Caenorhabditis elegans: one gene and its partners. The protein of the gene in region 1 purifies or fractionates together with the protein of each later gene. This does not show direct contact. Each region holds a gene or a part of one and is shown in the gene's direction. Other genes may lie near its edges.

What was found.
Region 2: the proteins of unc-94 (region 1) and csn-3 fractionate together in Caenorhabditis elegans (co-fractionation; one large-scale study listed by BioGRID). This does not show direct contact.
Region 3: the proteins of unc-94 (region 1) and plc-3 fractionate together in Caenorhabditis elegans (co-fractionation; one large-scale study listed by BioGRID). This does not show direct contact.
Region 4: the proteins of unc-94 (region 1) and F01F1.11 fractionate together in Caenorhabditis elegans (co-fractionation; one large-scale study listed by BioGRID). This does not show direct contact.

Annotation. Positions count from the first base shown.
Region 1 is NC_003279.8:5,993,278-6,001,130, reverse strand, and holds the start of unc-94 (Tropomodulin), read left to right. Parts: upstream 1-1,833; 5' UTR 1,834-1,980; coding exon 1,981-2,036; intron 2,037-2,327; coding exon 2,328-2,421; intron 2,422-2,466; coding exon of another isoform or gene 2,467-2,475; coding exon 2,476-2,553; intron 2,554-4,914; coding exon 4,915-5,236; intron 5,237-5,317; coding exon 5,318-5,480; intron 5,481-5,687; coding exon 5,688-5,754; intron 5,755-5,808; coding exon 5,809-5,904; intron 5,905-6,069; coding exon 6,070-6,213; intron 6,214-6,936; coding exon 6,937-7,084; intron 7,085-7,792; coding exon 7,793-7,830; 3' UTR 7,831-7,853. UniProt on the Caenorhabditis elegans protein: Acts as the pointed end capping protein which maintains the length and dynamics of the actin filament. Blocks the elongation and depolymerization of the actin filaments at the pointed end.
Region 2 is NC_003282.8:192,925-197,747, forward strand, and holds the start of csn-3 (COP9 signalosome complex subunit 3), read left to right. Parts: upstream 1-1,817; 5' UTR 1,818-1,853; coding exon 1,854-1,860; intron 1,861-1,916; coding exon 1,917-2,042; intron 2,043-3,915; coding exon 3,916-4,185; intron 4,186-4,823. Other genes in the region: intk-1 (INTaKe), read left to right, coding at 1-392, 970-1,140. UniProt on the Caenorhabditis elegans protein: Component of the COP9 signalosome complex (CSN), a complex involved in various cellular and developmental processes.
Region 3 is NC_003280.10:10,220,892-10,228,899, forward strand, and holds the start of plc-3 (1-phosphatidylinositol 4,5-bisphosphate phosphodiesterase gamma plc-3), read left to right. Parts: upstream 1-1,985; 5' UTR 1,986-1,986; coding exon 1,987-2,282; intron 2,283-2,330; coding exon 2,331-2,515; intron 2,516-2,567; coding exon 2,568-2,718; intron 2,719-2,764; coding exon 2,765-3,238; intron 3,239-3,290; coding exon 3,291-3,376; intron 3,377-3,427; coding exon 3,428-3,796; intron 3,797-3,871; coding exon 3,872-4,300; intron 4,301-4,397; coding exon 4,398-5,096; intron 5,097-5,126; exon of another isoform or gene 5,127-5,151; coding exon of another isoform or gene 5,152-5,345; intron 5,346-5,389; coding exon of another isoform or gene 5,390-5,869; intron 5,870-5,914; coding exon of another isoform or gene 5,915-6,239; intron 6,240-6,373; coding exon 6,374-6,514; intron 6,515-6,804; coding exon 6,805-7,443; intron 7,444-7,506; coding exon 7,507-7,799; intron 7,800-7,841; coding exon 7,842-8,008. Other genes in the region: srh-135 (Serpentine Receptor, class H), read right to left, coding at 5,152-5,345, 5,390-5,869, 5,915-6,239. UniProt on the Caenorhabditis elegans protein: Mediates the production of the second messenger molecules diacylglycerol (DAG) and inositol 1,4,5-trisphosphate (IP3) which plays an important role in the regulation of intracellular signaling cascades.
Region 4 is NC_003281.10:5,869,183-5,873,712, reverse strand, and holds F01F1.11 (PAP-associated domain-containing protein), read left to right. Parts: upstream 1-1,835; 5' UTR 1,836-1,868; coding exon 1,869-1,887; intron 1,888-1,939; coding exon 1,940-2,122; intron 2,123-2,169; coding exon 2,170-2,405; intron 2,406-2,456; coding exon 2,457-2,621; intron 2,622-2,669; coding exon 2,670-2,877; intron 2,878-3,169; coding exon 3,170-3,353; intron 3,354-3,396; coding exon 3,397-3,567; intron 3,568-3,897; coding exon 3,898-3,949; 3' UTR 3,950-4,028; downstream 4,029-4,530. Other genes in the region: F01F1.3 (MIF4G domain-containing protein), read right to left, coding at 144-271, 320-447, 589-658; F01F1.15 (DUF3456 domain-containing protein), read left to right, coding at 4,185-4,266, 4,314-4,513.

The DNA of each region.
Region 1 (7,853 bases):
TCTTTCTTAGATACTCCCCAGCTCACGGAGCATTTCGTCGTGGAAAGCCTGAGCAGAATATATATCCACAACTCAACTTCGTCCCTCATCTGATTTGTTACTAAACAACGCCCAAAAAAATTTGAAGTGATTGCGGTTTTACTATAATACTATTTATTTTATTCTCATTTTACTCTACTAAACTATTATTCTGACTAATACGCCCCGATTTCGGGAGAATTTCTGTAAAAATCAAGAGTTTCAGTCGCTGAAGCTCACCATCACTAATCAAACTGACGTCTGCGATTGGAGCACCTCGACTCGGCTTAACGCCTCGCGAACCACCATCACCGATTGTTGTGCAACCGCCATCAGCGATGAGTCAGGCTAAAACTGAGTAAGTTATGATTTCTTTAAATTTAGTAAAAATGTTAAAAATTTGTTATTCTATAACAATCGAAAAAGATTCAAAATCAACATTTGAAGTATTCTATGAATTCTGAAAATTTAAAATATTCATTGCTCAAACCATCAGAAATTTGAGACCCATGACCTGTAGATTTTAAATGTCCGAAAAGTTCAAATTGGTGTCAGACCACAAGCACTTATCACACACACATATCATATCCTTCCTTTTCTCTTTTTATTTCTCCAGTTCGCTTGTCATTTTAAGACTCTTCGTTGTCGCTAAGAAAAACTCGAGAAAAAAAAAACGGCGAAAATGCAGTAGGAATGTGATACACGAAGCTTCTATGTGTGTATGTGTGAGTGTGCTCCGGACAGCTGACCCCTTTACTCTCAATTTTCGAAGACAAGGGCACATGAGATATATTATCACAAGCAGCACTTATTCAGTGAGAAATTTAGATTTTGGAAATGATCTACCGAACAGTTTTGAAAAAGAAAACAGTTTTAGTATTTCAAAATGAAAATAAGGTTCGAGCAAGATCAAAAATTGAGCACTCTGAGCTTCTTTTCCACACAAAAGTGTTTTTTTTTAAATTATTTAAAAAACTATGTCATCTGGAATTTTGCTTGAAAAATACGTTCCTACAAAAAAGAGAGGAGCTCTTAGAGCTGAAAAATAGTAAATCTGAAATTGTTTTATTTAAAAAATGTTTTTTGGAGCTCCGTAAAGCAGCTTCAAAATAGGTTTTTGCAATTTCTTGATGTTTTAAAAAGTTATAAGGCAAACATTCTGAAAAGTATTTCATCTAAAAATTTTCACACTTTGTCTTCAGAACATATTTCTGAAAACACTCAAGTTGTTCAGGTTCACAAAACATCCTAAAATCAACCTGAGCGATGAAAAGTGACTTAAAATTTTTTAAAACGTTTATTTCAAGTTCGAAGAGCCAATATACAACTTTTTTGAGGAACGAGACCAATAAGTACAAAAATCATGGTTTCAAACATTTGTTTATTGTTTCCTTTTTCATTTTTGGAGAAAAATTAATATTTTTTAAAGAAAATTTTAAAAATTTGAAGTTTCGTTTGAAATTCCTCCGAGGTTTCCTTTAAAAAATCTGAAAAGTAAATTGTTTCGTGTTCATTTACTTTCTGTTACGAACTGTCATCCAATCGGTCAGTCAACATTGGACAATCTTTTAAACAAATTCAAAAACTTTTTTATTCTTCTTTCCTCAAACCAACAAAAAACTTGGAAAAAAAAATTCCATTTGATAGCAAAGATATTTACACTTATTTCGGTCAGAGCCAACACAAAACGACAAATAACAAATAAATGTGAGAGACGCAGATATTTCGATTCACGAGAGACGTACAGTCTTGTAGAAGACGCAGAAAAAACACGCCTCTTTTTGGTTGTTTCACTGTCTCGTCACTCTCCATCACTCTCTGTACTATCTCGCCTTTTCAAGTGCGCACACGGGGGGACACTTTCCCATTCTCAGTCAGCTGCGCCATCTTTCGCCGGCTTCAAATTTTTATTCAAGACTATTATTTTCTGAATTTTTTTTCTGAAAATTATTGTCTGAAATTATGAGTAACATGGAGCCTCCACCACCCATGTTTCCTAGATCACGAATTTATCATAGGTTAGTGTAAAAAATGGAATAATTTATAAGCTCTAAGCACTAAGGAACACCCGAAATTTCTGATAGTTTTAGAACTTATTGGTAAAAATTGAATGTAAAATTGAAAAATATTATTAAAAAATTGTGAAGCAAATCGGAAAAATCTCTGATAATCGAATTTAAGAAATAATTTCACATGTGACGAAATAATTATTTGTTAAAACTACAAAAAATGAAAAAGACTAAAAATTATTTGTAGTAAGCAATTAAAAATTCATTGAAGCAGGTCAAGTTAAAACTATAATTTTTCAGTTACTATTCTGAAGAGAAGACCTTCTCAGCACCGTCAGCGAATAGTCAACAGGGAACTCAACTACCTTCAAAAGTCTACAATAAAGGATTAAAAGTAAGGAAATTTTTGAAAAACGAAGAACTCTGGAAACTAATTCAGGATTTGGAGGATAATGATATTGAAGGCCTTCTTTCAAGTTTATCGATTGATGAATTGGAGGATCTCAACAATGATTTTGATCCTGATGTGAGTTTTTTCCCGATAATTTCAAATTTTCAAAAATTTTAAAAGAGTCAAATTATATAAATTATATATAGAACAAGGCCAGTTAGCTAGCTAATTTTTTGAAATTCTAAAATTTTTGCAAAAGCTTTAAAAAACATTAACATAAAAATTTACTATTTTTGAATTTGAAGATAAGTTTGAACATTTATTGTGAAGCTCTAGAATGCTCTTCATGCTAAGTTTTGCCTACTTTATGTATTAATTTGACCAAAAAGCCGCTTCCCCTAGTTTTCAAATTATCGTTATTTAAACTTTAGCTATTTGAATTATAGATACCTGAATTGTGCAACTCAGTGTTAAAGTAAATAATAGCTTTGTGAAAAATGCCTTAGAAGGTGCGCATTGATCAGCAGGTTTTTCTGTTTATTTTTTCGGTTAGTCAGAATGACGCAAAATGGCACTTGAGGTACGGTAGAAGGGCGTATGTTTAATTGGAAGGAAATATGATAAAACAGAAAAAAGATTTGTCAAGAATATATGTTTTGAAATACATAGATTTTGAATAACAGAAGCTGAAAAAGTTCCAATGTGATTTCACAAGTTTTAAATATTTTTGTAGAGGCTGGTAGGGTTTTCGAAAGAAATGTCATAGGGTGTTTTTTACCTATTTCAAGTCTGTAATTAAGGCCGTAGTGAGATTTTTTCTGAACGTTTGACACGATCTTATTTCAGTTTAGCAATTTCCAGACCACAGCTTGATGTTTCTCTTCTGTGCTTTTTCCATGTTTAGATTAAAATTAACAAAACATAAATCAATCAATAATCATACGTGTGATCAATTTTTCTTTTCCTCTCCAGCTCTATCACATGAGACTTGTCTCTAGTGTCCACATACGTGTACACTTTTATCTCACACTCTCTAAAGCTTCTCCCTCTCTGTTCAACTCGTCATCTCCACACACTCGATTCCCGGGAATATGGATAATCTGAGTCTCTACGATGTTGGTAGTCTCACTCGATGAGGATGTACCGCCCGAGAGAGAAGATCCGCTTCTCTGATTCTCTTCTCTATTGGGTTAAAGATGGAAAAGACCTCTCGGGAGAGTGTCTCGGTTGTTCCTCTGTGCTTCTCCGATGTTTTTTTCCACTGGAGCATGGAAAGATAGAGTGAGCAGAGGGATATTGCATGGACGATGAAAGTTGACATCCTAATGAAATAAAAATTGGGGAAAACCTAATGATGGCGCAAATTTTCAATTTTTCTTAGTAGTGGTTTTGATGAAAAGTTAATTTCTCATGATGAGATCGACCCTAGAGTACAATATAATTTAGAATGAGAACCTATGGATGTTTGTAGTTTTTTGTTCTTTTTTTTCGCTTTTGGATTGTCTACCTTGAACCAATTAACAAACTTTTGGCATTACTACAGTAACCTATGATTTTTAAAAGCTTTGCTCATTCTCTGCTCTTCGTGATCCAGGTTCACAAAAAGTGCACACAAAAAGTCTTGTGATAGTCTCAACCAAAGAGATGCTCACGGTCAGTTGATCTATCGCAAGCTCTTGACTATAATACTAGATTCGTCAAAAAACCACTTCCTTCAACTTTCCATCAGATTATTACCACTAAAACACTGCACATTGTGCACATGCATTGTGATCCAATGAATATAAAAAAAACCGATCGCAAATTTATGTCCTTCCTCCTTTCCTCATCTCCTACACTTGTACACATACACATAAAGACAGATACACTTACAAACACACAATTTTATTTGCGGAAACCTTGAAGAGAGACCACCCCCACCATTGGGATTGCTGTTTAACTTTCGTTTAGAAGATGAACGAGAAGAAAAGTTGGGCAGCACATTTGTTTGGAAGGGGGAATTGGTTAACAAGGCAAAAGTAAGAGTTGTGAACTTTGTCCAATTGTTTGGAGAAGGAAGGTGATGACAATGATCACAAAGTGCGAGAGCCTTAAGGTGTCTGAAAGTTCAAAAATTGTTTCACTATAACAGTGATCAAGGGTATTCTGAAATGATATAATTCAAATTAATTCTGAAGGGTCAATCAAAGTGCATTCTATGCTATAATTATTGAAATAAAACTTTTAAGATTTTTTCATAATTTTAATCAGAATCCAGGGTGTCGTTGAATAATTTTCATTCAAAAGGTGTTTTTGTTTCAGAAAAAAATTTAATCAAAATGTGTCCTTTTTCAAAAATCGGAAAAATGTAGTCAAAATGAGTTATTTATTTATCAAAAAAGTTCTAACTAAAACGAATAAAATGTCTATGAAACATAGAAAATATTTTCCCAAATCAGAGCGCCAGGAAAAATAAAATTTGTTATTTAAAATAAAATGTAAATTCTCAATTTCCAGAATTCAATGCTTCCTCCTTCCCAACGTTGTCGTGATCAAACAGACAAAGAACCAACGGGACCTTACAAACGAGATAATTTACTAAAATTCCTGGAAGATAAGGCTAAAACCGAAAAAGATTGGGAAGATGTGTGCCCCTATACGCCTGGACAAAAACGTGGAAAAGTGTATGATAGTGATAGTGGACGGAATTCAGAAGAACCTGAAAATGGTAAAATGGAGATGCCAATTGAAATTGATTTGGATGATGATGAAGAAGAGCTCGAGTGTGCTCTTGTAACTGCCCCTGAAAAGGATCTCGTTGATTTGGCTGGAATTTTGGGTTTGTTTAAGATTTAATTTTAATATTACGTTTTTTCTTTTTGAAATAATCTTAAATTTCCTATTAATTAATTAATTACAGGTATGCACAATGTGCTCAATCAACCACAATATTATAATGCACTAAAAGGAAAAACACAAGATGAGTCGACAGGAACGACATTTAATGGAATTATGCAATCATATGTTCCACGTATTGTTCCCGATGAGCCTGATAATGATACTGATGTTGAATCATGTATTAAGTGAGTTTTTAAATGTTTTAATAGGAAAAAACGAATTTAAAAAATAGATTTTATTGTTCAATTCGCGTTAATAATCAGCTTAAAAAATTTAAAAAAAAACCACGTTTTTGTTTTGCCCTGAAATATTTCAAATCTCTGGTTCCCTGGACTTTCTCTTGAAAAATTTTCAAGTTCTAAACATTTCTAAACTATGTTTCCAACTTTCAGCCGGTTACGAGAAGACGATACAGACTTGAAGGAGGTTAATATTAACAATATGAAACGAGTGTCGAAGGTTTGTTAGATATTTTTTCCAAATCAGAAATTTGAAAAAATATCCAAACTTCAGGAACGTATTCGATCACTGATCGAGGCGGCATGCAACAGTAAACATATTGAAAAGTTTTCATTGGCCAACACAGCGATTTCGGATTCTGAAGCGAGAGTGAGTTTTTTAAAACAAAATTTTTTAAAAATTTATCGAGTTGAAAGATATTGCATTGATTTGTGAAATAATTTCTCAATTCCATAGCAATCTTGAACATTTTAATTTTTTTCTAAAATAGTATTTGTCATCTGATAAAAAAAAACGAATTCTCATATTTTCCAGGGACTCATTGAGCTTATCGAAACATCACCATCCCTTCGTGTTCTGAATGTTGAATCCAATTTCCTGACTCCTGAATTATTGGCTCGATTGCTGCGATCAACACTTGTGACACAATCAATTGTTGAATTTAAAGCAGATAATCAGGTATTTGTTGTTTTTTTTATCTTTGAAAAATTTTCAATTTGGGTAAATTCTAATTTTATTCAAGTTTTGCTACCCATTCGCATCAAGTTTTTGAAATCCGATTTTCTACAGTACTCTAGAAAACACTATCTGGTTACTGTAGTCGTACGTATTTATTTATTTTGTTGTGATCTACAAAATAAACAAAACACTTCTGTGCTTATATTTAGAACATCACTCTTTTTCTTTTTTTTGTTTCTCTTTCAACTTGTTTACCTAACAAGTGCTCGCCGTGGTGTCATATGAGATTTTTACACGTTTCGCGTTAAATCATACGAAACACAGGAACAATATAGTTGAGGGAAGAGTCTAGGAAATGTTTGACAATTATTTCATGTGGTGCTAAAATGATCCAATAAAAAATAAGTTGAAACAATTAAAAAAAAGTATATTTATGGTCCAATGATTCCTTTTTTCCTTTTATAATTTTGGAAATCGACTTAAAAAAAACAAATTTTCTACGATTCTCCAATTTTAGTCACTTCTTATTTATTTACATAGCAAGAATGCTATAGATTTTGCAAAAGTTTCATTTTTTAAAAACATTTTCCATTTTGCTAAAACTATGACATTTTAACAAAATTTTGAAATATTTAAGACAATTCAGATTTTTTTTTGGCGAAACGATAATAAAAACAAAATAAAAACTCGTGCTTTTCAAGTCTATTTACAAAACATTTTCAGCGGCAATCTGTGCTCGGAAATCAAGTAGAAATGGATATGATGATGGCAATTGAAGAAAATGAATCACTGCTTCGAGTGGGAATTTCATTTGCTTCAATGGAAGCAAGACATCGAGTTTCAGAAGCATTGGAAAGGAATTATGAAAGAGGTTTGTTATTTTATAAAAATATATCCTGATCGTAATTTGACTGTATTTCATTTAAAAAAAAAACTCAAATATGAGTTGGACTGTGGATCCGAAACCGAAAAAAACTAAATTTTAATAATTTTGACCTTTGTGCTTTTCTCCAAAGTGTTCTTCCTTTACGTCACCACTCAATGTACGTCTGTTCTATTTTTTTTTCGACAAAATCATAGAAAAATCAGCTGTTTTTATCAGTCGCCTCCTTCATATTCGGCTGACTTTAAACTTTTCGCTAGAGGGGGAAGCCGCTTGGGGAAAAATTGAAAATGTGTGACACCTGACCTCGGAAAAGAAAAAAGAACGAGAACTAAAATTGAGGGATTTTAAAGAAATATTGATTAATTTAAAATGTATAAAAATACTTAAAGAAAAGATTTTGAAAATTTAAAATAAGTATTACCGGTCTGTCAATTTATTCTTTACCTTTAATTGTTTAATTTTAAATATAAAAAACGTTTTAAAAAGTAGTTCAAAAAGAGAGAAGTAGTCAAAAAATTTTTAAATGCCGAAAAAAAAATCACTTGTCCGTGTGGAGTATCTTCCGTAATTCGACATATATCAAACCGCGCCGCGGGCTTGCAAAATGCTTTTCTTGAGTGACAGTTATGTTTTGGCAGTAATACGAAAGATAAAATACTCACCGTACAGTATCAATAAATTAATATTTTACAGTACGTCTGCGTCGATTGGGAAAAGATCCGAATGTCTGAATGTCGTGACGTATCCAAATCTA
Region 2 (4,823 bases), on another chromosome or scaffold:
ACGTGGAGCGTCCCGAGAAGCTTATAAGCCCGGAATCCGAGGAAAAATGGTTTGAATCGAGAACTCTGGACGAGAAAGTGCTCGGACACGAAGGAGACGCAGATATGTACGAATGGGATCCAAATACAATGACAGAGACTCTTGTTCGGGAGCCTCCATCGCCTCTGGAGCCCAGTAGTATGATATTCGAGGAGAAAGGAATGCTGAAACTACTGGAAGATTTTCGAAATGGTGAGCTCCGATGGCTAGATGCTCCACAGATTTCTGCGTTGGGAAAAGTGAAAGAAGCGCATGAAGATGTGTCGAATATTCATTTACAAGTTTATGAAATTGAGTCGGCTAGGAGGAAAAAGAGAAAACAAGCGAGGAGTGTCAAGGAGAATTTTGAATTTGTAAGGAAAAATTCGGATTTCCATAAAAAAGGGATTAATTTGTGCAATTTTACGAAGAAATCGGGATTTTTGGAATGTAAAAAGCTCAATGTGATCTAGAAAATGTGTTTTTGGCAGGATTTTCCTTTTTTTTTAAATCCGATTTTCAGTCTATTTTCTAGCTAAACGACTCCGAAGATCTCTCAAAAAACTAACAAAAAATGCGACAGACGCCAGTTTTTTAATCTGAAAAAAAGCAGAAAGTCCCAAAAAACGGTCCCAGGAATCACAAAATATCTGTTTTGTGATATTTAGCGCTGCAAAAAATAAAAAAAACTCGCTGAATGCAATATTCCAATAGCTTTTTACCTTTAAAAAACTCAAATTTTCATTAAAATCATCAAAATTCTGAGAGCCTCACCCATAAATCCTTAGCCTCACCCAAAAATCATGAGAGCCTCAACCAAAAATCCTGGGCCTCAATCAAAATTCCGGAGAGCCTCACCCAAAAATCCAGAAAGCCTCAACCAAAAATCCAGAGAGCCTCAACTAAAAATCCAAAAATACTAGAATATACTAAAATTCCCCATATTTTCAGTCGGATTCGGATGATTCAGAAGAAGAACGAGAAATCGAACGATTATTCGAATCGATGAATACTCATATGATTGACATGCATTCTGCACTCGATACCGTACCATTTTACGACGCTTCTCAAAATCAACGCACTGAAAAAATCGATAACGACGAGGAGTATTTTTCGTCTTGAATCGATCATGTTTCCTGAATTTTTCACGCATTTTCTAATTTGAAAATTCTATAATTTTGACCCAAATTTCTTCGTTTCCAGCTAATATTTGCATTTTTTTAGGGCATTTCTCACAGTTTTTCTCGAAAAATCCCCGTATTGTCGATTTTTTTTTCGAAATTTTTCCGAGCAGGAAAATATTGTGAATTTCACCTGTTTTGAGGCACCACGGATTCAAGATCAGCTGGGATTTTGGATCTAAAATTTCCGAAATTGGCACCGTGCCAACGAATAAAACGCTATTTTTCTCGAAGAAAAGCGTGACAACGATGCTCCGATGTTACGCGTCGCGTGTTGTTTAGCGTATTTTCTATAAGTAATTTTCAAAAAAACAGCGTTTTATGCCTGACACGGTGCTTTTTCGGTGATATTTGAACTGAAATACCCTAAAATTTTCGTGATTCCCTCTATTTTCTAGCAAAGTTTTCTCTTTTCCCCAAATTTTACCCATTTTTCACTAATTTCTCGGTATTTTCCTGTACAAGCTCGATTTTTACTCAATTTCTATATTTTTCTCGGTTTCTTCTCTAAATTTTCTCACCAATCGCCATTCCCTGTGCAATTTTCTCTTATTTTTTCGTATATCTTCTCTTACTCGTTTCTTGTCACACATTTTCACGATAAAATGTAAATATTTTCAGATATCACAGGAAAATCCCATTCACAAAAGGATCATGACAAGTAAGTTTATTATTTAACCTGTAAATTTTCTAAAAAAATCGGAAAAGCTTTTTCAGCTTTTTTCAATAAGCTCTTCACGGGAGCCTCATCATCATCGTCTGCAGCAGCTTCTTCTGGAATGGATCTTGGTAGTATGGAGTCATTGTGTGCTGCGATCAATGAGCTTTGCAGTGAAAAACATGGTAATTTGGAGGGTTTTGTTGGAAAAAGAAGAAAATTAGTGATTTTCTCAATTTTTCAACTTGAAAATGTATTTATTCGCTGAAATTTTCGGGAAATTTGAATGATTTCATTCAAAAACCCATCGAAATTCTCGTAGAAGTTCGTGAAAAATTGATGAATATCATCTGAAAAGGGATCGAATTCCGAAAAAAAAGAGCCAAATTTTGCTGACATCTGAAATTTTTTCTTTGTCCCCAGTTTTCTTTGTCGCAGCCACTGGAATTTTACTTTTCTGAAATTATCACTCTTTAATCTAAGTTTTATTAGTTTATCTTGTGTAAATTCATTGATTGAGACAATTTTAAACCGTGAGGCATCCAATTTTTATCATTTTTGGATGTCTCTTCGCTTAAAAATTGTCTCAATCAATGAATTTACACAAGATAAATTACCAAAATGTGAATTAAAAGTGATAATTTCAGAAAAGTTGAATTACAGTCTCTGCGACAAAGAAAACTGGGCAAAATTTCTGATTTTTGCACTAATATGCCTTTTTTAATTTTGACCTCAACCAAAAAATCATGGTAGCCTCAACCAAAAATCATGGTAGCCTCAACCAAAATTCCGGAGAGCCTCACCCAAAAATCCAGAAAGCCTCAACCAAAAATCCTTAGCCTCAACCAAAAATCCTGAGCCTCAACCAAAAAATCATGGTAGCCTCAACCAAAAATCCTGAACCTCAACCAAAAATCCTGAACCTCAATCAAAAATCCTGAGCCTCAACCAAAAATCATGGTAGCCTCAACCAAAAATCCTGAGCCTCAATCAAAAATCCTTAGCCTCAACCAAAAATCCTTAGCCTCAACCAAAAATCATGGTAGCCTCAACGAAATATCCTGAGCCTCAACCAAAAATCCTGAGCCTCAACCAAAAATTCTTAGCCTCAACCAAAAATCATGGTAGCCTCAACCAAAAATCCTGAGCCTCAATCAAAAATCCTGAGCCTCAATCAAAAATCATGGTAGCCTCAACCAAAAATCCTGAGCCTCAATCAAAAATCCTTAGCCTCAACCAAAAATCATGGTAGCCTCAACGAAATATCCTGAGCCTCAACCAAAAATCCTGAGAGCCTCAACCAAAAATCCTGGTAGCCTCAACCAAAAATCCTGAGCCTCAACCAAAAATTCTTAGCCTCAACCAAAAATCATGGTAGCCTCAACCAAAAATCCTGAGTCTCAACCAAAAATCCTGAGAGTCTCAACCAAAAATCATGGTAGCCTCAACGAAATATCCTGAGCCTCAACCAAAAATCCTGAGAGCCTCAACCAAAAATCCTGAGCCTCAATCAAAAATCCTGAGCCTCAACCAAAAATCATGGTAGCCTCAACCAAAAATCCTGAGCCTCAATCAAAAATCCTTAGCCTCAACCAAAAATCCTGGTAGCCTCAACCAAAAATCCTGAGCCTCAATCAAAAATCCTGAGCCTCAATCAAAAATCATGGTAGCCTCAACCAAAAATCCTGAGCCTCAATCAAAAATCCTTAGCCTCAACCAAAAATCCTGGTAGCCTCAACCAAAAATCCTGAGCCTCAATCAAAAATCCTTAGCCTCAACCAAAAATCATGGTAGCCTCAACGAAATATCCTGATCCTCACCCAAAAATCCTAAGCCTCAACCAAAAATCCATACAAAATTGTTGAAAATTTTTTGTTTCATTATTAAATTCGGTGGTTTTGGACCAGTTGTAGTCTATTTAAGCAGAATACCCACAAACTGTAATCCCGCTTTAAAATAAATTTATTAAAAAATTTGTTTTATTTAAAAAAAAATTCAATTTAAGGATACCGTCAAGCCTATTTTTTCCAGAATTCCGCATTAATTTCCCGTATTTAGTTTCAGAGAATGTTGGTGAACTGGCCGCTGGAATTGTTCGTAAGAATAAAGAGCTTTTCGAAAAGAAATCGAACGATGTTGAAGCATTTTTGCTTCATTGTAGTCCAAATGTTGGTTCAGCTGCAATGGTTGCTGCAATTAAAGGAATGTTTGATACGTCGGCTGCAAAAAATAATGAAACTGGAACAGATCGAGCTGTTGAGCTTCTCAATCATTATGTTGATGAGAATAATTTTGTTGGAGGACATTTGAAGCTTGTACCTGAAATTAGTGAGTTTCTAGATAAAATTGAGAAGAAAAACTGGAAAATATGGATGATTTACATGGAATTTATGCGAAAAATCTAGATTTAAAGAGAAAAATGCAGCTTCACTTCGCCGAATTTTCCGTTTTTTTTTAAAGCAGAAAGTCAAAGACGTCGGATTTCAAAGGAAAATAAAAATAAAAACTTGAATTTAGAGAAAAGCTAGGCAAAAATAGAAAACTTAACTGAAAATTTCTCCTTCTTCCTATAATTCTTCCTAAATTTTATTTTTTTTTTCTCAATTTCCCTCAAAAATCTATAAATTTCAGACTGAAAATTAAAAAACTAAGAACTTCCTAATTTTTCGTCCTCAAAAAAATTCGAAAATCCGAATTTTTCCACAGAAAAAAGTTGTCTGAAAATGCATTCTTTAGTGAAAAAATGACAAATTTTAACGATTTTCTTGTAAAAAGTCACTTTTCCATAGATTTTTTTTTCACTTTTTGAATGGAGCAATTGAAAAATCTTTCAAGAAAAATTGAAAAATATTGGCAAATAAGCTCGAATTTAAAGAAAAACTAGGCAAAAATTGAAAATTTAACTGAAAATTTGATTTTTTTTTAACTTTTAAAATGTAATTTTTTCCAATTTCCCTCTAAAAAAA
Region 3 (8,008 bases), on another chromosome or scaffold:
TCAAAACCTCTTCATTTTCTTTTATCTATCATATTTCACCTATGTTCTATACACCCATTCACCCCCATTTTATGTATGTGAAAAAATGAAAATTTGCATCTGAATTCAGAATATTTTTGTCGTTTTTTATAAGCATTCCTTTTAGGTGTCAATTTTAACATCTCCAAGGAAAATGGTTTCGAGTTTTTTAAAAATTTATATTTAGAAAGTCTGATAACAATACTTTATTTTAGGATTAATGTTAAGATCCGAAATTTTTTCATAAATGTATGGCTTCTTCCGCAAATGCAAAACAATTGACACGACTCTAAAAGTTTTCTTTTTTTTCTGTGATTTATATGTGATGTAATTTTTCTGTGACTTTGTTGCATATACATATGTAGAGTTTAAAATAATTTTCTAAAAAATCAATCTTGACAATTTTTCACTTATATGTCTAAAATTTTTTTGTAAATTTAATTGGGTAAGTTTATCTATGATACTATAATTTTTAAAAAATCGGGTTACAATAAAATGTATCACAGCTTTCGTTTTTCATTAGCAAATACTTTGGAATAGTTATAGAAAACTTTTAAATGATCATAAATGTCTTCAAAGTAAATAAATACAAATATTGAAGCGTCTTCATTCCAATGGAATGAACAAATTGAAAATCCGATAAAGATTTAATTGAAAAATATTGGAAATGCTCCTCTTCTTCTTTTTCACATTCACATCGTCCATTTCTCTTCAATCAACCAAAGCGATTCGAATTTTGTTGAAACAATATTCTTTTGCTCTTTCTCTTTCTCTTCCAGTTTCCAGCCCTTTTCATTCAATTCTCTTTTCTATGTGTGAAGCACCAAAAGCACAAAACTCGAGGAGCATTTTTCTTTATCAAAAAGGAATTGTGAAAATTTCCCAATTTAGTCTGAATTATTTTTCCACACACCGTTATCGAATTGTGCTCCTCGCCGTGGCTAGTATGACGTTATCATACTGTCATTAGGTCATATGTATTATATTTCACACTTTTACTTTATTGTGCTCCTTTTTTCTTGAAATGTCATTCTTTTTTCTTGCAGTTGTAGAATTTCCGGAAACTTTTTTTTCTGAAAATATAGGAATAGGGAGTTGATTGGGTTATTGGAGCTCGAATTAAACTGAGGGTAAATAAGTTTTTAGGAAATAATTTTGAAGGGCTGTGGTGCTTTTGTCAAAATATACGCGATTTTTTAAAAACCAAATATGAAAAAAAAAATTTCAGTCACGGTTTTGGCAAATTTTCAAAATTTTGAAAAGTGTGATTAGTTGAGATATTTCAACTATCCTTGCACATTTGAGCCAATCTTTAGCACAAAGAATTAAAGCATAAAACACATTTTTGCCGGCTTTCAAAATTTTGATAGATAAATAGTAATTGTTATAGAAACTTCTTTTGCCAATTTTGCAGAAAACTTTCATAATCTCCAATCGCAATTTTCTTGTTGAAAACCTATTCATTCCTCTAATAGAAACTACATTTTTAAAACTTATTTATAAATTAATTGGAAAAATTCACAAATATCCAGGCAAATAAGACATCTTGTTTAAAAAAATGTAATATCTTTCAATATTACTTGAAGCCTTCCCAGCCGCTTCTTGTGAATTTTCTAAAAATTTCTAAGCGAACTATTTTAAAAAATTAGATTTTTGATCAAGTTCTTGTTTTATATTCTTTGATTTTTTTTTCAAACGGGAAAGTATGATTGATAGTTTTTTTACCGGAAAAATACAACAATTTTTGATAAGAGATTATTCATTTTAACAACTGAATTGCATTTCACTAGTTGAATAAAATAACTTTTGTTATGAGAAATTGAAGAAACACCACATTTTCGTAATTGCTTATAAGTTTTAAATTAATTTCTAAATCAGAAATTCTTTCAATCGTTCTTTTGCAAGGAAGACCGTTAAAATTTTCTTTTTTATGTGCATCCAATTTCATAAATCCTTCAATTTCTCAGCATGCAACACGGCTCACTTGGCCCATCATCGTCGTCTCGAAAGACTACAGTAACCAGCACAGCGGGCTCCGTTCACCTTCATCACCGCTCTTCAAATGGTTTCTCGACAGCATCACGAGCTCAATTGAACCGTCACAATGAAATGGATTTTGGGAAAATGTTTGCGGCAATGGAGAAAGGTCACAAAGTGTGCAAAATTGCGGTGTTGAAGAAATGGGATCCAGCCTATAAACAATTAACGTTGGATCGGTACTCGAGGCAGATTTTTCTGACAAAATTGGAACTGTCAGCTGTTAGGTAAGAGGATAAGTAACATCGCATGAAATTCATTTACATTTTTTTCAGAAATAAACCGACAATTCTAGATATTCGACAAATCCGTGAAGTACAGACATTGAATTACAAATTGAACACAATTAAAGTAGATGATAAATGGAAAAAGGATCGAGAAATCGTAAATTTTGATTCAAAAGCCATTCTAATCATCTCATATGGAATGGGATTTGCTCTTTCCTATTGGATTCTTTTGTGTGAGTTTTTGTTAAAATAATTATTCAATAGTTTGAAAGAAAAATGTTATAGTTGAAAGTGAGGATGCGTGCAAATTATGGTCACAAGGACTTCATAATTTGATGATGGACACAAGAGATCGAGACTCATCCCCTCATCCATTGAGAATTGAACGATTTCTGCATAAACACTTTTTGAGTTTAATGTCACCGGCTAATGATGCGTAAGTTCAAAAATTGCAGAATTTTTTAATAATAACAATTTTCCAGCGTTGCTCGAAAGCATATGAAACCATTTGTTCAAACCTCCCTCCAATTCAAAGTTCAATCTGATCAGCTCCAACAAGTGACAGAAGATCAAATGAATTCTGATCAATTCAGTTTTGCCAGTCGTCAACTTATCCATGTACCTGAACTCTTCTCTTCAAGATTCGCTGATCTTGCTGAAAAACATGAACGAAAAGGTCTTGTGGTGACGTTTCAAAATTTTTTGCGATTTCTTGATGGCAAACAATTCGATGAACTTGCCTCGAATCGAACGAGAGCTTTGGAGTTTTTGAATCGATATTTTCAAGAAGATCAAGCATATTTTGGAGATAGAAATGAGCCTTCAATGACTGTTTTCGAGTTTTGTGATTTTTTATTTTCAAGGGAGAATTCGCTGTGGGACCCAACAAATGAGAAAGTTACTCATGATATGAGCAGACCATTGTCTCATTATTGGATTGCCAGCTCGCATAATACGTTTGTTTTTTTTTTGGTCTATATAAGTGCTAAACCAGTAATTTAATTCCAGATACTTGACGGGTGACCAACTTCGATCTGAATCTTCTTTGGATTGTTATGCTCAAGCTCTTTTGATGGGTTGTAGATGCATTGAGTGTAAGTTTTAGAGACAATTTTCACTGTTTTATAAATAATTTTATTTTTCAGTAGATTGCTGGGATGGACAGAAGAAGCCCGGGTCAGCCGAGTTCATTGATATTGTCATCTATCACGGGTATACGATGACCTCAAAAATTTTGCTCCGCGACGTGCTTCACGTCATCCGTCACTATGCATTTGTTACGAGTGAATATCCAGTAATTCTATCAATTGAGGACAACTGCTCGGTGCCAGCTCAACGGCTTCTAGCTCAAGAACTGAAAGATATTCTTGGTGATTATTTATTGACACAACCAGCAAATCGTGAAGAAAAACAATTGCCCTCCCCGGCCGCGTTGAAGAAGAAAATTATCGTGAAGCATAAGAAGTTGCCGATAGAAAGCGAGGATTTGGCAGCTGTGGTGAAAACTGATGAGTGTAAGTTTTATGAAATTACTCTAGTTTCCTAGTAGTAAAGGTATAAATCATTTTGCTAAATGATTTTTGTTTCAGTCCAAGACACGGAAATCATATCTCGCGAATGTGTAAAGAAGGGGATCCTGATGGTAAAAAACAACAACAGTCACGAATGGACATCTCATGTTTTCATATTATTCCCTGATCGTCTTTGCTACCTGATTCAAACCGCTGATCCTGAAAATCCAAATGACGATACAGTGAGTGTAAGTGGAGATGAAGAACGGGAAGAAGAGACGCCTTCTGGATTTGGAGTGAAACCTGAAGAAATGCATGTGACTGAAGAATGGTTCCATGGAAGATGTGAACGGGATGAAGCGAAAAAACGGATTCTAGAGCATAAGGAGAAGGGAAATGGATTGTTTATGATTCGAGATTCGAATCTGTTCATTGGAGATTTCTCACTTTCGATTCTACATGACGGGAAAGTTCATCATGTTCGGATAAGATCCAAGATTATTGATAGTGAGTTTTTCTATGTTTTGCATGTAACATGTATTCGAGAATTACAGTAAATAGAAGAGAAACTTTTAATAAAATTTTCAACTTTTCAATTTTTCAGAAGAGAAAAAATATTACTTCATGGATAACAAAGTCTGCGACACTCTTTACGAGTTGGTCTCTTACTACACCCGTCACTACCTCACAACTGCTCATTTCAAAATGGTGCTCACGATTCCATGTCCTCAACCACAACCGCATCTTAATCAGCCATGGTTCTCTGCTACTGCTGACAAGGAAAAAGCCGAAGAACTTTTGAGCTTGGTGCCAGAAGATGGTGCTTTCCTAATTCGGACGTCATCGACTGACTCTTCAGTTTACGTTCTTTCGCTAAAAGTCGACGGCGAATTCTGGCATTATCGATTGAAAAGAGATGGAAGAATTTTCGTGGTGAATCAAAAAGTATTCGAGAATTTGAATCAAATTGTTGAATTCTATGCGAATCGAGAATTTGTTAGAGGAATTAGTCTTCGATTCCCTGTCAATGAGAAGGATATATCACACCTGACAGCTGAACTTGCAGAAGCTCGTACTCCAGGTTGCTATATGGATCTGAAGGATTTGGATAAAGAAGTTCAAGCTCGAGCACTTCGACCGTATCGAGGAACAGCTGATGATGAACTTTCGTTCCCAGCGAATGTTATTATCACAGTACTCCGGAAGGAAGAAGGTCTTTGGAGAGGAAGATATGGATCGTTGACTGGATGGTTCCCTTCGGCCCATGTACAAGAGATTCTACCAGAGAAAGTTTCAACTTCAGGTTAGTTTGAAAAAATTAATGTAAACAGTTTATCTCATAAAATAGCAAGTTTAAATTAAGTAGTCACTATCAAAAAGGGAACTGAATTTCGTGTGGGCTCACTATTATTATTTGTATTCTTTTGAAATAGTTTAGAAGCTGCCAATATATTTAGTGTAGCATCACGATATGGTTTATGCACAATGAGCATCACAATAGTTGAAATCAAACCATGAAGAGATAGCAAGCATAAAGAAATATTAGTTTGAGCTGTAATGAATATAGTAACTAGATTATAGTTTTAAAAGTGTTACCTTGATTATGATACTCCAGAGAAACTTGAATAATTACAAATAGAAATGGAATAAACATTAGTAAAACAGGAATAGTAACTTGAATACAAATTGCTCGAAATAGTCTCTTTTGTAAATTTCTAGTCCTTTCTGATTTTCTATCATCTTTTCCACTTAAATTCATCAAAAGTCGAATGACAAAATAAATAATCTGCCCTTCAATCAATGAACTAGTGATAATAACTGAATAGTGAGTTACACGGACATCCAGAGCTAACACAAAAAATCGATTTTCATCGACTTCACATGGAAATTGTTCCTTAACTATTTTGATAGCTTCCGACTGATTTGGAATACGTAAAATAGTTGGAATGACAAAAGTGAACGCCAGTAAATAGTTGAAAATAAAGAACAGAGCTCGTCTGACTTTTCGACTAGAAAACTCGAAAATAATGGTGTTATAGCGGTTCTCGAAAATGTGAAGAATTGCTACACCGGTTACTGAAATGATAAAATATAAAGTTCCAAATTTCCTGCAAAACTTACAAACAATTACAGTCAACATAACATAAATTTGAAATGGAATATTCACATCCAAATAACCCAGCAATCCCATGGGAAACCCTGACATTGACGGTAAAAGTATAAATGGAGCAACAAATAATCCCATAAATAAATCCATTAAAGTACTCCAAAAATGCAAATTAAATATGACCAATTTGACAAGATTCATTTGATTCGGGGTTTTGCACAAAATACAGTACCCTCCGAATATGTAAATTGGAATTCCAACAGCCGATATTATGTGTAGACTTATTTGTAAAAACTTGGGAGAATGAAAGAATGATAGAGTGGGACAAGAAGCTTGCATTCGATAGAAATTTGAGTTTTAGTCAGATCTGAAAAGAAGAAAAATAAAGTATCATCCCTTCTATGCTTCAATGATTTTTTAAAAATTTGATTATTCTATCAGAGTAAAGTGAAATCAAACATCAAAGTTTTCAGAAACTAGCAACTACAACACAATCGAGCTAGCTGGAACACTAATTGAACGGATTCATGATGCTGATCGTCCGAATGTTATCAGAATATCACAATCAAATCAACATTGGATGAACAAGCAATATTATTTGTTGGCTGCTTCTTGTAAGTTGTTCTTCGAACTGAAATTCTGGGGTTTACAATTTCGACAGGCTACAAATTGTGTTGATATGGCCCGAAAGAAAATAGAAACTCTTTAAAAAAATTTCAAACATTATTTAAATTAAATTTGGAAATTTTGTGACAATTGAAAGCGTACCTGAATCTACAAACTACTACAAAAATTTATTTAAAAAAAATTCAAAACGGAGAAGAAAAAAAAAACAAATTAGATTCACTTTACGCAAATATTTTTCAACCTGGATCCCAACTTAACTTAAACTATAATTTTCCAGCCTCCGAGGAAGCAGATGGTTGGCAAAACAATCTCTTCGAGCTGACTCGTTCAGTTAACACAAAAATGAGCATACTCCGAACCAAAGAAAAAGAAAAACGAATTGCCGCTGAGCTCTCAAATCTAGTCGTCTACTGTCAAGCTGTTCCATTCGACCCAGCCCATATCTACAATGACGCTTTCTATGAAATGTGCTCATTTGTCGAGGGAAAACTTGACAAACTGGTTGAAAAGGGGCTTCTTCCGTTTAATTCCCGAAAACTCTCGAGGGTCTATCCGAACGGAAGTCGAATCACATCGAATAATTATAGTCCGGTTCCAATGTGGAATGCAGGATGTCATATGGTTGCACTAAACTATCAAACCGGTGATAAACCCATGCAGTTGAATCAAGGAAAGTTTTTGGCAAATGGAAGATGCGGGTACCTACTGAAACCAGATTATATGTTAACTGATGACTTCGATCCTACGAACACGGAAAAGTTTGCAACAGCTTATCCCATTCGACTGAATGTTCAAGTGATTGGAGGACGTCATTTGTCAAGAAAAGATAAGAATAAAGGAATATGCTCCCCATTTGTGGAAATTGAAATTATTGGAATGCCATGTGACACAAAAGTTTTTCAAACTAAAACTATAGGTAATTTTTAATATTTTTTTTCCTTTTTAAAAATAAGTTTCTAAATTTCAATTAAAATTTCAGCATCAAACGGTCTTAATCCGATCTGGAATCAAACTTTCACATTTGAGATCCAGTGTCCCGAAGTAGCACTGATCAGATTCCACGTGGAAGACGGTGACTTTGTGGGACCAAAAACAGATCCGTTCATTGGTCAAGCAGTATTCCCTGTTGATTCAATTAGATGTGGATTCCGATCAGTTCCACTCAAAAATCAGTACAGTGAGGAGCTTGAGCTCTCTTCACTGTTAGTTGATGTACAAATGTGCTCCAGAGAAGGAACTCAATTGATCAGGTCGTCGTCGCATTTCTTGCAGGTTAGTGCCCAGTTGAAAAAATTTTATTAAAGGTTTCTTCAGGCGAGTCGTCTGGCTCCTGTCTTCGCTCACCGTAAGATCACAAATGGCGATAGTATCCCTCGTGAGATGGCACCTCGGTTACGAACATCAGCCACCGATCGTTCACTAGACTCTCCAACAAATTCCGAGTCAAGAGCCACTCTTCTGAGCGGCCAACGAGGTAGCCA
Region 4 (4,530 bases), on another chromosome or scaffold:
AGGCACACACCCTTTCTCATTCAACAATACCTCAACATGATATATCATATGATATCAAAATTGCGTGTCTGACTACAAGAAACATTCGAAAATTGGAATAAAACGATAGTTTCTTTCGAAAAAAAAAATTGGAAATTGCTTACGAAAAAAGTGTCTTCACACAATTCCTGAACATAAGTCGAGAATCGTTTCGAACTGAAAGCCGGTTACGGTAGTCGTTGAGTAGTAGAGCCAACACATTTGAGGATAATGAAATGTCTTTTGGATCGGACTGGAATTTTAATTTGTGGTTTTTGAGGTTACCGTAGTACAGAACTACCTTATGGATGTGCATTAGTATATTTGCAGCAACTGGTCCAAAGCGTCCATCCGAAAGCCATCGGAGCCTCATGTGTTCGGCGAGAACTTCTGTAGAATGTTGACCAGCAAGCATACTGTAGGCTTGCACTGAAACTCGAATTTTTAAAATTGTGGGTCCCGCGACGATCCACATCACTTTTCACTAAATAACGGGATCAAGGCGTGAGCAGGCACATTTGCCTGATTCTACATACAAAGAACGATTTCGAATTTTCTTAAATAGCTCACCTGGAATTGGTCCTTGTTGTGTGAGAGTTGCAAGAGATGCAAATAGGCTCCGTAGTTTATCATCGTTCATTTCGTGATTATTGATTTAAAAAAAATGTCTGAAAATTTTCAATTTCTGAAATTTCCGATTAACTTAATAATTCTCAAATATTGCCGAGTTAGCCAATTTTTTTTAATTGACGATCAGGGTTCTAGAGCAAGCGAAATATTTCAGCTACAGTACCCGCGAGTACTGTAGAATTTCATTCTTCTTACAGAAAGTTGTTTCCTATTTGACAGTTTTCATATTTCCTGATATATAATAAGACTTCTCAGTAATTTAAGTTTTTCTAACAAGTTTTCAAAAAATTGTGGGAACTGGTTGAATACTTACAGATACTGTATACTAAAATTTTTAGCTCGTGTCAGGACCCAAAAAACTAATTTTTTCTACTAAAAATTGTACAAAATAACCGGGTCAAATCGAAAGACGAATGGCTCGAGCTGAATGACGCAAGAGATTTGAAAATGAGGTGAAAAGTGTCACCAGAGACAATTGGGTGCTTCATGCTCAACTTTCAAGATTTTTTATCTCTTTCGAAAATGCATGATGGCAAAGTTCAGAAGGCAGAGCAAGCAGCATCACACACTCAAAAAATGAAAAACAGAGGAAAAGTGACGGCTGTTTCGAATTACACAACACATGTGGCGAACAGAGAGCTCTGGAGAGCATAGAAGAGGCTCAAAACACATGAACATAGCAATATAATAGACAATTAAAATATTGGAATTTTCATGAATTATATACATATGTATTTTTCAGATGGGTCTCGGCGCGCAAAAGTTTATGGTAGACTTTTTAGAATTTTCACGTCTGCTTTTTTGTTCATTTGCCTTGCGTTTTTCAATGATATTAATTGTTTTTTAGCGAATCATGTCATATTCTTTTCATTTTTCTATCCTAGAGTTTGTAAATATGTTGTTTTATAAAAACACCAACGCTGTTTTCGGTTCATGCATACTTGCATAGGACAAAAATTGCTTGATTGTTTATAAACATAATTATTTTTATTAGCTTTCTCGTGTGGAAATGTGAAACTTCAAGAAAATTCTATTTTGCGGCTGGAAAGGGAGGAAAATTTTTGTGCGGCAAATTAAATTCAAATTTAGCGCGCAAAAAGGTGTTGGACTTTTCTCGGCCGTGCACTCCTCTCGGACAACGTTTCTCTGGTCTCTCTCGGTTTGTCTCTATTCTCTATTTTCCTTTTATTATTTTTTTTCAAGAAATTTACCACAAAAATATGAATAACTCAAATAGAAGTAAGTTTAAAAATAATAATTTTATTCAAAAATTAAAAAATGTTCTTTATAGTAATTCCGTTTGCTTTCAAAAGCTCTGAACACGGCTCATACGAAGATGAGATGATGGAAATGGAAGACGTAGTCGATGTAGAGGACTATATGGGCGGAGAAAAATATGATTCTTATAATGATGCAAAAGAAGATATTAAAGATTTTAAGACGACTCAAAGAATGAAAAAAATCCATCGAATGGGTAAAAAAATTATCAATAAAATATTAAAAGTTCAATTATTGTTTCAGAAAAAATTGAGCAAAACATTGCCTCAGAGAAAATCGATATAATCGAGCTTGGAACACGTGTGATGGTGTCGACATCGGATAAAACGCTCAATGAAGCTTCATTGGAGAGAACCATCCGTTGCGGAATATCTGAAGCCACATTTCTCGGAGATATTTCTATGGAATCGCTGGTAGAAGGTATGGTGAATCCATCGGCGGCTGATGGAAGGTTTGCAATGCTTGGAACGTCTATTATGGTCAGAATTCTGATAGCCCGGAATTCAAAATTCCATTTTTTGATTTTTCAGCTAAATGCGCTAAAGTCAAACATTAAAGACCTGAGAGGAACAATTGTAGGACAGACGACCAACACAAATTCAGAGTCAAAATTCGATAAAATCGATTTAAGTCTAATGAATCTCTCGCATTGCCAACAAACTTCTTACAATATTCGAGCAACAGGTGTATTCTCTGTGAGTTTTTTTTTGTTTCAGCTTCTATGAAAAAATGCCAAATTTTAGAATGCCGATCTTCAATATGTGTTCAGTTTGCTGACGTTCCGCAGAAACGCAAAACTTCTCAACAAAACCAAGCAGTTTATAAAAGCATATTTTTGTGTTGCGTGCCGTCCGAGATGCATGATCTGGAGATATACTTTAAGAAGAGCTGGAAATAGTCAAAGAAGAGCCATTCTTAACTTACCATCCGCCATTGTTTCAACTATTACTCGTAAGTTTTAAATAAAAAAAGAGAATCCATGGGCTTTTTCCAATATTTGGAAACAATTTTCGTTTTTTCAAAAAATAGTTTTAAATGTTGACCTTTTTTCCTTTTTAGATGGCAATTATATGTTTTTCCTTAATAATATTGATTGATAACAGTATAAGCCTAATTTGATTTAAACAAAACATTTTTTTGTTGTAAAATTGCTAAACTTTTTTTTTGATTTTCTCAGAAAAAAAATCCATAAAAAATTTCAATGATACCCTTGCCAATAATCAATTTTTATTGTTTTTTCCAGAGTTTCTGCTCGATTTGACAGGAATTAGCGATGCAAACATCCCATACGATCAGCTCGATCCAATGACACCACTATCAATTTCACTTGGAGAAGATGAATCAATGCGTGTTCAACGATATGAAGAAGCTTGTCGATTGAAGGATCCATTGACGAGATTCTTTCGAGATGCAATTACAGATTGCTTGTAAGTGCCTGAATCCTTGAAAATACATTGAATTAAATTTCAGAAATGAGCTCCGAGAGATGCCGTTTTGCCTGAACACGGGCATTCTGTTGAGCCCGTTGCGTGGTCGAGAACAAGGAACTTCTTGTGTTACATGGAAAGATTATGAAGGATTTTTGAAAAGAGAACACGATCTGCCTTCCGAAGCGAATATGAAGAAGCGAACGCAGTTTGAGTAAGTTTAAAAAATAATTTCGATTTTAAAATCCTTAAAATTTGCATTCAGTTATAAGTGTAATTTTTTTTTGGAAAAAGCGTAAAATTTGAAAATCAATTATATTTTCAGTTACCGACAGGATAACAGAATTTTTCTCTATTTTCGCTCCCTTTTTTTCGAAAAATACCAAAAATAAAATTTCATTGCTGCTCGCTGTTGCGGAGCGTTCTTTAGTTTTTCACTACAGTACTACTTTTGAAAAAATTGTACGTGACGAGGCCGGGTAACATATCTTTGAGACGAGATTTCAGAGTTCATATCTGAATAGTATTAAAATTAAATTTCCAGACAACGGCTCTGCGACATTATTCCACGTGTACGTCGACCGGTTCCCAATTGAAAAAATGTTTAACTTATCAATTTTCGATCTCTTGAATACGTTGTTTCCAATCAACTTTAATGAATAATATTCATGTTTTATTCGTGAAGAAAAGTACCATTTACACAAACACTGGATACCTATCCAAACACCGTTCTTTTTCTTTTCTTTCTGCCACTCTCCCAATCATTGTTTGCTCTCTCTCTCTCTCCGCTTCACTTGGTCATTATCGACGCTTTTTAACCATTTATTCAGAATGCATTTTGTTTCTACACTGGTTTGTCTCATATCACTGTCGGGTATTCAATCTGCATCGGTTTCTTCATTAGAGTGTGGAGGTTGATAGATTTTTCTAAAATATATTTTTAAATATTGAAAATTTCAGCCTGCTCCCTCCTCGTAACCCATTTCGAGCTGAAAATCGCCGCAGTCGACCCGAAAAAGAAAATCGAAGTTGGAAGTTTCCGAGTTTCACCAACTGGAGATCAAAAAGGGCTCAAGGAAATCGGCTATGCTCGTTCAGAATCTCATTTGACAGAAATCATTGAGCACGCTTGTGATGATGCGAAACACTATAAACTTGTGGTAAGAACCATAAATTG